Linked DNA regions of Canis lupus familiaris. The main gene of each other region encodes a partner of the protein of the gene in region 2 in a complex. Links are inferred from orthologs where the notes say so. Each region holds a gene or a part of one and is shown on either strand. Other genes may lie near its edges.

The links. The genes of interacting proteins can lie anywhere in the genome.
Region 1: USH1C (region 2) and ANKS4B share a complex: the UniProt entries of both Homo sapiens proteins name them as parts of the IMAC/intermicrovillar adhesion complex. The link is inferred for Canis lupus familiaris from reciprocal best matches to the Homo sapiens genes USH1C and ANKS4B.

Annotation. Positions count from the first base shown.
Region 1 is NC_049227.1:24,449,458-24,455,189, forward strand, and holds part of ANKS4B (ankyrin repeat and SAM domain-containing protein 4B), read right to left. Parts: intron 2,049-5,732; 5' UTR 1,970-2,048; coding exon 1,806-1,969; intron 1-1,805. UniProt on the Homo sapiens protein: As part of the intermicrovillar adhesion complex/IMAC plays a role in epithelial brush border differentiation, controlling microvilli organization and length. Plays a role in assembly of the complex.
Region 2 is NC_049242.1:40,742,694-40,748,425, forward strand, and holds part of USH1C (harmonin), read right to left. Parts: intron 5,135-5,732; coding exon 5,075-5,134; intron 4,916-5,074; coding exon 4,859-4,915; intron 4,573-4,858; coding exon 4,430-4,572; intron 3,347-4,429; coding exon 3,281-3,346; intron 2,898-3,280; coding exon 2,773-2,897; intron 1-2,772. UniProt on the Homo sapiens protein: Anchoring/scaffolding protein that is a part of the functional network formed by USH1C, USH1G, CDH23 and MYO7A that mediates mechanotransduction in cochlear hair cells. Required for normal development and maintenance of cochlear hair cell bundles.

The sequences.
Region 1 (5,732 bases), on a different chromosome or scaffold from region 2:
CAAAACTGAAAAAAATCCATATACACTTAATAGGCAAAATGAAATTTTGTTAATTGGGGCCATTTTCCAAATGTAAGATAACATATGTAATTATTGCTTTTCATCTTTAAATCTTGAAAAGAAAGAATACACAATTTTTAACAAAGCCAGATATTGGACATTAATGATTACCATGTGATCCACTGTCAATGATCAATGATGGATTAATTTCTAAATTCAAATTTTAAAGTTTCCCTTTTAACTCCCTTAAATTTAATTGGCAAATTGATCTCACACAATCCCTAAGCTATGGTCAATATGGGAACCTAAAAAAACTTGTACAAGATTTTTTTTTTCAGCTTGTGTACTCCAGGGCAACTTAACAGAATGTGGGGCCTTACCTTCCTCTTCCTCCACCCACCACAATGTCCAGTCAACTATAATTGATTCTGCATCCAAACTACCAATTAAATCCATCCCTGTCTTCCCATTCCCACTGCCACTGCCATAGTCCAATTTGTCTTTCATCTCAACCATTAAAACAGCCTCTAAACATTTTCTGTGACTGCTATACAGCTACCTGAGCAAGTTTGGTAAACACACATCTACCAGGTGGCTATCCTATATAAACCTGATAAACCTGACAATGGCTCCTATGCCTTTAGAACAAAGTTCAACTCTCCAACAGAGTTTACAATGCTCTTGTGATCCGGCCTTGTCTCTTATAACTTAGCCTCTCCCCTTACAGCCACATCCAGCTATGCTCAACTTCAATGCCTAGACTGCACAGTGCTCTCACTTGGGGGAAACATTCTGTCTTCCATCTTCTGGCCAGCTGCTTCTCACCTTTCAGGTCCCAACTTCAAAGTTCTAAAATGCCTATTATCAGTCTCTGGATTGGGATAGATTCCTGTGTTATTTATTTAGTGCTCTCTCTTTTCCCCTTTGTAACATATATTATACATGACTTACTTAATTTCTGTCTTCATCTCTTAAATCTGATCGCTATGAGGAGAGGAATGGTGTCTCTCTTGTTGATCACAGCATCTCCAGTGGCCAGTAAAATGGCTGGCACATTGCAGATATATATAAATAAATATGTATTAAATGGAAATTAATTCACTTAGTTCTTTTATTAGCATTTTCTTTTTTTCCATTCTTTACTCCTGTTGCATTTTGGTTGCCAACACTGCCTAGCCACTCTGGTAACAAGCAAAAGAAAAGAGCTAGCTAATTCCTGCATTAGAATTTGGGGGGAGTACAGGAGCATTTGTATGTATCTAATAGCTAAAGAGATAATAAAGTTCAGACAGACCGAGATTCCCTTTTATAGCTTGAAGCCAACTACTTCATCTAAGAATCATGGGCTTGCATTAGGACTGAATATTAATAAAAGGCTGTGGGATTATAATGGCATAGATTTAAAAAAATAAAATAAAAACGCATCATTTGTTCCAATCAAGGTTGACATCTTAAAGTCAAGTAGAACAGTGATTCCTTTTTAAACAGCCAACCATTTACATTTCATGGAAAAGATTTTTTAAAAGTGCAGAATTAAAATAGTCCCCCCACCCACCCAAAGCAGATAACAAAGACTTAGAGTTCAGGATCTTTCTATGTGTGGTTCATAAGGGATGAGCCATCCTCAGGTTGGCAGTTTAGTGTGAAAAGAAAATCTCTAGGTAGTTTTCTCCCTTTCTCTAAAAAGACAATTATTTAGACGGTCTATAAAGAACCAAGTATTTTCACTGGCTTCCCTCTCTCTGTTGTCTGAAAAAGCCTACCGGAAACACGGTCTCCAATCAAAAGTATCAGATTGAACTTACCCTCGGCTGCAGATTATTTCTAGGGCTTCCAGATTCCCATGGTAGGCTGCCAGGAGTGTGGGAGTCATACCATCCTCATCAGAAAGATTCAGATCTCTCCTGGTAGCTTCTTTCAAGAGTTCCAGGTAGCTATCACTAGCAGCTTGGTGGTAGCGAGTGGACATTTTTTCTGCTCACCAGAGCCTGGCCAGATATCACTCTCCAGGCAAAGCAGGTTGTCAGTGGAGCAGCCTTCCTATAAAGCTGGTTAATCAGTGACAAGGAAGAGCGTCACCCCAGGACAAAGCTCATTCTAACCTCCTCTATGGAAGGCAGCCAGAAAGGTTCACAGCACTAAACTTGGACCTTTCCTTTCTGGCATGGCCATGACATCGAATATTAAGGACCTCTGTGTTCATCTTGAATGTTGTGAGGCACATTTAATCTTTTTATGTCCATTAGCAAGTCTTGAATGCAATATTGGTCATCTAGGCACAGAGTGTACAAAATAATTTCCAAACAATTCAGAATCTCCACTGAGGAGGTCTATTTTTAAAAAACATTTTATTGAAGTATAATTTATATACTATGAAATTCATCCATTTTAAGTGTATAATTTGATGATTGTTGGTAAATTTACAGAGCAGTGCAAGTATCACCATAATCCAATTTTAGAACATATCTACCACTCTCAAAATATCCCTCATGCTCATATGTAGTCAATCCCTATTCCCATTCCCATTCCCAACCATAGGAAACTACTAATCTGGTTTCTGTCTCTATAGATTTGCCTTATATGGGCATTTCATATAAATGGAATCACAAAATATATATTCTTTGTGTCTAGGGGTTTTTTTTAGCTTCACATAAGTTTTGAAGTTCAATTCCTTTTTTAGTAACAGTACTTCCTTTTTATTGCTGAATAATATTTATTATACCAATACATCAAATTTTAATTATTCATCCAGTAGCTGATGGACTTTTAGATTGTTTCTCCATTTAGATGGTTTTATGAATAATGCTGCTATGAACATTTACACACAAGTCTATAGATATATATTTTTATGTCTCATGGGTTTATATCACAGAGTGGAATGGCTGGGTTATATGACAATTTATATTTAACTTTTTCAGAAATTGCTAAACTGTTTTCCAAAGTGACCATACTCTTTTACATTCCCACAGCAGTGGATGGTGAGAATTTCTCCATATCCTTGCAGCCTCTGTTGTCTTTTTGTTCATTGCTATCCTTAGTGGATGTGAAGTGGTATCATTATGGTTTTAATTTGCATTTACTAATGATTAATGATGTTGAACACATTTTCATATGCTTATTAGCCATTCTTACATTTATATGTAAATTCTCTGCCCATTTTCTCATTGGGATATTGTCTTATTGAGTTATGAGGGTTCTTTATATATTTTGAACAAAAATAATTTATCTGATATATTTTGAACTGAATGAAAATGAAAATGCAACATCTCAAAATTTGTAGGATGCAATTAAAATAGAGCTTGGAGAAGAAATTTGCAGTTTTTATGCCTGTATTAGAGAAGGAGAAATTTCTCAAATCAATAACTACAAGTTCCACCTTAAAGAAAGAAGGAAACAATGGAAAAATTAGTGTAAATAAAGAGCACAATATAAGACCAAAAACATGGTCCAAATCTATCTATAATAAAAATAAATGTAAATGGACCAAATTCATCACTTAGTAGACTCAGCCATATCTTATTTACGATAGTCACAGCTAAAATATAAAATTACAGAATGATTGAAAGCAAAAAATGGAAGTTTTATCAAGAAAATACTGAGCCTGGATGGCTCAGTCAGTTAAGTATCTGACTCTTGATTTCCGCCAGGGTCATGATTTCAGGATGGTGAGATTGAGCCCCACATAGGGCTCTGCCCCGATGTTGAGTCTGCTTGAAATTTTCTCTCTCCTTCTTCCTCTTCTGTCTCCCCACATGCGCATGCATGTGTTTACTCTCTCTCTCTGTTTCTTTTTAAAATATTTTATTTAAATTCAATTTGCCATCATATAGTATAACACCCAGTGCTCATCCCATCAAGTGCCTTCCTTAGTGCCCATCACGTAGTTACTCCATCCCCAAAATCTTTTTTTTTTTAAAAGAAAATACCGACTGGGATCCCTGGGTGGCGCAGCGGTTTGGCGCCTGCCTTTGGCCCAGGGCGCGATCCTGGAGACCCAGGATCGAATCCCACATTGGGCTCCCGGTGCATGGAGCCTGCTTCTCCCTCTGCCTGTGTCTCTGCGCCTCTCTCTCTCTCTCTCTGTGTGTGACTATCATAAATAAATAAAAATTAAAAAAAAAAAGAAAATACCGACAGAAATAGTATAGCTATATTTACATCAGACAAAATACAGTTTAAGACAAAAATTGCTAGGGATAATACATAATGATGAAAGGAACAAGTCATCAATAAAATATGATATTCCTAAACTTGTGTGTATGTAATAACATAGCCCCCAAATAGAAAAAACAAAAATTCATAGAAATGGAAGAGAAAGAACAAATCCACAATCATAGCAGATTTTAATACACTTTCTTAATGTTACATATCAATTAAACTAAAGATTAGAAAAAATATAAAAGATCTGAACACAATTAAAAAGCTTGATTTAAGAATACTATGTAGAACTCTTACTGGATAAAAAATACATGTTCTTTTCAAGCACACAGAAAATATTTATAAAAATTTGCCATCTAATAGAACCAGTGCAGGCCTCAATAAATATAAGATGACAGGTTTCATGGAGACCATGTCCTCTGAAGATACAACAATAAAATTAGAATCTATCACCCTATATAACTGATGAACTATTTATATATTCTCCTGTGGTATTTTTTACATAGTTTTTACCATCAACTACATACCATTTTGCATTGTCTTTTCTTCTCCTTAAACCACCATAAAAACTTCCCATATTGTTACAAAATATTTAATATGTTTGGACAATAGTCCATGGAACTGGGATGCCCGGGTAGCTCAGCAGTTGAGTGTCTGCCTTTGGCTGGGGGTGTGATCTGGATCCAGAAATCAAGTCCCACATCAGGCTCAGTCCAGGGAACCTGCTTCTCCTTCTGCCTATGTCTCTGCCTCTCTCTCTGTGTCTCTCATGAATAAATAAATAAATTTTTTAAAAAAACAGTCCATGTAACTGAAGTGAGGAAGACCTATTTTCAAAGTCTGTATCTATTTATTCTTCTTATCTCTTTTTGTCCAAACCTTTATTCCAAGATAAATTATCTGTCCACTCTGAGAAAATACAAGGCTTTCATCTGCAAGTTTTTCACAATAATTAGCTCCAGGGTCAATGTTTGTTCCTTTTTCTGGTTTCTATGAGAACACCAGTAGACACTGTAGAAGCAACCTGGAGGCAACATTTTTTATTTGTAAAGGGGGAAAAATAATTTTTTTAGCCCAGCGTGTGAAATATTCAAACATGATTATGGATACTTTGAGAACAAGGTTATGTTCCTTAGCTATTTTTTGCATGAGCCACTTAAATTTAAACATAATTGAATTCATTAATGGACTCTAAAGTAGAAAATTATATATAACTTGAGAGAGGGCTTCTCAAAGATGAATTATTTGAAGTAGAATTCTAAGTGCCAATCAGACAAGGAGTCTGTTATGAGATGAAGATGAGGATAATGATATTGTGATAATGATGGGGAGAAGGAGAATGATAAAGGGAAGATGGAGGCAAAGAATAAAGAGAACAGAGCAACCATGGATGAGAAGAAGGGTTGAAAATGGAGATCTCAACTCCAGGAGTACTTATGACTTGGACTTAAACTCTCCTGTGAAATGGAGCTTTTATTTTTTTATTATTTTTTAATGGTAAAAATCCTGGCACTCTTTGGCATTTCCTTGGAAAAACTTTGAAAGAATGGATTATGAAGGGGAAGTAAAACAGA
Region 2 (5,732 bases):
TGTGAGGGACAGAGGATGGGACTATCTGAGTCTTATACGCGAGTGGTGCTTACAGTGGAAGAACAGACCCTACTGGTTGCTCCCTCCCACCTTGGGAACTCTGGGTCCCCGGGGGGATGTTGGAGCTATGTGGGCAGGTTGGAGACCCCAAGGAGGTGAGGTGATTCCAAAGGGTAGAGGGGAGACGTGAATTCTGACATCACGTGGAGAATGGCAAAGCATCCATTCCAATGATTTCCAACCCGGACTTTGGCCTCCCTAGGACTGTGGAAGGTAGTGCAGGGCTCTGCTGTGAGCTGTTTATTCATATTTCAGATATTAATTAGAAGGACTTCCCCATTCACCTATGAAAAGGCTGTAAGTTAAGTTCCTTTGCTTTCAGCTCAATTTGTGTTTACTCAACAGTGGAACACTGATGCTTTCTTGCAAACAAGAATGACTCCTTAATACAACAATAGGAAGACAAATGATTACTGAATGGTTTGATAGGAAAAAAGTCTCAACTTCTAAACCCTGGGGTCTGTTGGGGGCAGAGGCTAATTGACGGGGTCCTTGATGGAGAGAAAAGCCTAGAAATATCTTATTTAAACCTCTTCATCTCCCAAAGCTCCTTTCAACTTTGGGATCCTTAATCCCTCTCCCTCACTGCTTTGAGTAAAGAGAGCTCTTCTGGGGCCTCTGTGACAATCTGTCCTGGGTCAGCAGAATGTTGGGGTTCTGCTGGGTTGGCCATGGGGAGGCAGGCATTGCCCCTGGGACAGTGATGGTGAGAGGAGCAGCCAGTTCCATGCACATCGTTAGGATGAGGGATTTCCTTTTTCAGGCCAAGAGATGCTCCACACTCTTTCCTGTCTGCTCAAAAACGTGTGCCCCTGCCTCTCACGGGCACAAAGCCCTGAGTCAGGTATAACCTATTGGCTAACTGGGCCCCAGAGCTAAAGAGTGGCCAGGGAGGAGCCAGCAGTGGCCTGGTCCCTGGTGGCCCAGCACAACATGGACTGTTCCAGCCTCCCAGGAATGGGGAGAGAGGCAAGAATGGAGCTGGCTCGGAGGCCTTCTTGCATCTCCTGACTTATTTCTCAACAAGATGGAATTGCCAGTGCATATGGGGGATGGATGGGAGCAGCAGCTGCCCCAGCTCAGGCAGACAGGCTTGGGGCATTAATCCCATGCTTTGCACATTCCTCAGAAAACATTTATATCTTCAAGCAAAGGGAAAGTTCTTGCTCCTTTATTCAAGAAGATTGATTTGGTTTAAAAGCACTAAATAAATAGCTAGCTAGAGAAAGGGTTTTTATTTTTTATAGTTCCTGAGAGGGTGTGTTTGCTCTGAAGCCAAGACCCAACTTCTAGAAAGGTACTAAATTGGCTAGGATTACTTTCATGAGAAGCAATTAAAATCGATTTCTCTCCTTTTGAAGCTCCTCTTTCACTCATAAGAGCAAATTAGCTCCCTGTCTAAAACACAGATTATTCACCAGGAATTTAGCTCTGGCCACATCCTCAACTAATACCAAATGTCAGGGGGGAGGCTGATGAGAGCTCGCTTTGTCCTTCTGAGAGGACCCTGAGATGACACCATACCCTGCTGCCAGGAAGGAATGTGCTGGCAGGTATCTGCCTCGCCCCAGGGAGGGTGAAATGGGACCACCCAGATGCCCTGTCCAACCTCTTCATTGACCCAAGTGGACTGTGTTGGCAAGATGACGTCCCTCTAGGGCTCAGGTATGATCCAAAGTTGGGGCCAGAGTTGTCCAGACCCCATCACAAGATGCCGAATGGCTGTGACACAGGAGAGATGGGGAATCTTGGTTCTTAAGTATATAGATTCACCCCATATCTACAGGTTCCCAGGTCAGCTGAGCACAATCAGCCGCAGTAGAACTGGCCCTTTGTCATGTAAAGTGAGAGTAAGGCTCAATCTGGAATCCTGGACTCCTGATTACTATGGCCCCCAAGCTACCTTACTTGGCTTCCTACCACCAGCCGACTGGAGAAGCATGAAGACTGAGCCCCCACTTTGCTCTGGTGGTGTGAGCTGCCCCTTGAAAAGACATCCTGCCAGTTGGGGTTGAGAGCAGGTGGACAGGGGAACAGGTGGTGGAGGCCTGGCCTGAAATTGGAGGTAAGAACCCAGGATAGATGAAGAAAGGAGGGGTGAAGGGCAGAGGGAGCTGAGGCCCCAGGATGGCCACAGTTTGGGTCTCAGAGGGGTCTCAGTCCTCTTCCTGACTCCATCCCTGAAGGGATATGACCATAGCCTACACACAGGGATGCAGGTGGCAGGGGCGCTTCAGGTAAGCTCTCCCCACAGTACGCATCAGCCTTGGACCACCAGAGTTTTCTCCAACATGAGCATTTCCCCTCTTTCTGGCTGCTGTTGCACCCCGCTCTGACTCAGAATCAGGTGGGATGTGGACATGACACCCAGCAAACTGAGATGATGATCCCATGAGCAGCTCACTTTTGCCACAGCTCTCCATTCCCTGGTCAGCAGCGCAAAGGCATGGGGAGAGGTCCACCTACCTAAATCTATGTTGTGGGCGAGAGCCTGGCAGCAGGCCCCCAGGGACAGGGGGGCAGACAGATCCCACCCATCCCAGTGCCCCGGCAGATGGCTGCCCCTCTATGAAGAAGATGCAGCCCAAGGAGCCACGGACTCTTCACCTGGGGAAGTGGTGGTGAGTGGAGGAAGACCAGCATCTCTTTCTACATACTCCTCAAACCCCAGGCCCCAGAAAGAAGCCCCCTCCTGCAGCACATGATACGTACACTTAGGCTTGCGAAGGGGTATTGGGTGCACCTCTGCGGTGATGGTTTTAGGTGAGAGCAGCTGTTCCTTTGAGCCCCAGTCTTCTTCCCACTGCTTCTTAAACTTCTCCTCCTCTTCCACAATCCTGAAATAAGATCCCCATGCCTGTGACTGGGGTCAGGATTTTTACAGGCCCGCCCTCTGTCTCCTGGGAAACCCTAAACAGCCCGGGAAGAGGTCACGTGGCTCTAGCTATGCTGAAGAAAACAAAGTCCCTGGTACTCATCGTCGTAATCTGCATCGAGTGTGAATGTTACCCTGGGAATTACAAGACCACTTTCTAGTTACCCTAACACGATGGGCTTTACTAGAACTATGGAATGGCTACAGATAAAGGTGATCCACCAGGGGACAAGAGGGCCAGGCAAACCGGGCCTGGAGGTGGCCTCTGGCGGGCCACAGTCCCGAGAGCACACTCATGTCTGCACACTGACACGTGTGTGCAGGCATGGGGACCCAGGCACTCACTGCTCCATCTCCTTCCGGTATCTTTCATTCTCCTCTGCTGCCTTCTGGGCAATTTCCTTTTTCCTTCTGAAACACAAATTCATGGCATGTTGGAGTCTATGCAAGAGACATAGAACATCCAAGATGGCATGCTGGAGACTATGCAAGAAAAGTTAACTCTTCCTTGGAGCCAATTCCTGATTTGAGAAAGGTTTAAAATCTTTCTTCCAGGCTCCCATCCAAGGATGCCTGGACCAGATTTGGATGCTGGAGAAACAGGTCCAACAAAATCTGGGCCCCGTGTATGGTTTTGTCTGGCACTGCTGAGTGGAGATTCTGTGATGCCAGGGATGGGAGGCAGATCAACACAGGCCCCACTCTATGTGTCTACCTCCAAACACTTAGATAAAGTGACTGATGACAGGCAGGGCCTGGCTGGAGTGAGGTCCTCCAGGAAGAGGACCCTAGGCCCCATGTAGTCAGGGCTGCTGGCCAAGGCCAGGGCAATGGGCAGAGGTACCACCAGGGCTGGTTCTCCAGGCTCATTCTGTGATGGAGAAAAGAGGTGAAGATCCTGTTCACCTTCCTTTCCCAAATTCCTTTTACACTCTTAGAATGTATCTGGAGTTGACTGTGTGTGTGTGTGTGTGTGTGTGTGTGTGTGTGAATGGCTCACACCATTTATTCTTTCAGTCCATGATCTCGATCAGCTCCAGGAAGAGGGGCCTTATTACCACAGACAGGTATGAATCCCAGCTCAGCCATGTGTGCCTTTGTTCACAAGTGGTTTACCCTCTCTGCGTTAAGACCTCTCAGTCTCCTCACCTGTAAAATGGGTGAATATCATCTATCTTCCCGAGCTATTGTAGGAATTAAGTAAAACGTGAACAAGGCCCTGACACAAGACCAGCCACATGACTGATACTCAACAAATGTTAGCTACTTAGTGCTAATAGCATCCTCATCTTCCATACTCATGGGTTTTGGAAGTCAGGGGCTCTCCTCAGCTGCAGGGAAGAGCTTGGTGGTCTGGCAGCAAGGGATGGCTGCACTGACCACCACTGAACCCATGTGATCTGAAGACAGGCCTCAGGGGGGCAGGATGAATCTGGCCCAGGACTCAGTGGGCAGGGAGGGTCGGGGAGGAGCATCCCGGCTGGCCACACTTACTGTCGCTCCATCTCCTGCTGCTCCTGGAGGATCTTGTTGGACTCCATAGCCAGCCGCTTCTGCATGAGAAGCTCCTGCCGCTGCAGCTCACGCTGCCGTGCCTCCTCCAGCCGCTCCCGGTCTGTCAGGAACAGCTCCCGGCCCTCAGGGAGTGAAAAGAGGCCCCTTACTCAGTCTCCTGGGGAGGAACCTGGGTACCCACTGCCACAGCCCTGGGGACCAAGATGCAGGTTGTCTTCACTGTGGCTCCTGCCGTCTCTGAGCAAGCTTCTCCTGGCTGGGCAGAGATCTCTCCCTCTGCTCTCTCAGAGCTTTAGGAATAGAGACCCTCTGGCCTTTCCCGGGAGTGTGTGGCAGAGATCAGGGGTCTGAATGGCTGGGGCTGGAGGTCAGAGTTTAGGGCCCCCTATCGGGTCATCCTGGACTTACAGCTCCAGCTACAATGGAGATGGTCAGGCTGCGGCTACTCTTCAGCACGTTCACGGCCTGGGGGGACAAGCGGACGGTTGGCTGAAGCCTGACAGATCAGGGCGGTCAAGGTCTCTAGAGAGCACAGATGGTCTCAGACCGCGGCAGGGAGAGAGGGGCACGAGAAGTAGAGGGCAGACATGAAAACGACCAGTAGCTGAACACCCCACCTCTCACCTCCTTGTGGTCCAGGTTGGAGAAGTCGATGCCATTGACTTCGACAATCTGGTCCCCTGCCTGGTGTAGAAAGGGAGAAGGTTCAGCGTGTTTGCACTATCTGTAAGCCCACTCATCTGCACGAAGGGCTTCCCCTGGTGGCCAGGGTCAGATGTTGAGCCTTCAAGTGGCTGCACCTCAACTCTTCCTGATGAACACAGCAGTTAGAAAGCTCTGATTGGATCCTCTCAAGGTGCATCCACCTCATGTCTCTTTTATCAGTGGTCAAATATTATACTACTAGAGGTTCATTCCTTTGGCTTAATTTATGACATTTGCTTCAAAAATGTCATAAATCAGCTTGTAGACACAGGAGCCCTTTGGTTTCTCATATAGCTGAGGCTGTTTTGAGCCATGATAATAAATTGTATAACAGGTAACATCCATCAATCACCTACTATGTGCCAGGCACTGTTTGAAGTATATGTATTAATTAGCTTAATGAATTAATCCACACAATGACCCTAGAAGGAAGGCTATGCCCCCATTTTATAGGAGAGGAAACTGAAGCATAGCAACAGGAGGTAACTTGTCCAGAGTAGAGAGTAAGAGCTCTGGCTCTGGCCTCAGACCACCTAGGTTTGAATCCCAGCCCTATCACACTTATTACGTGATCTTA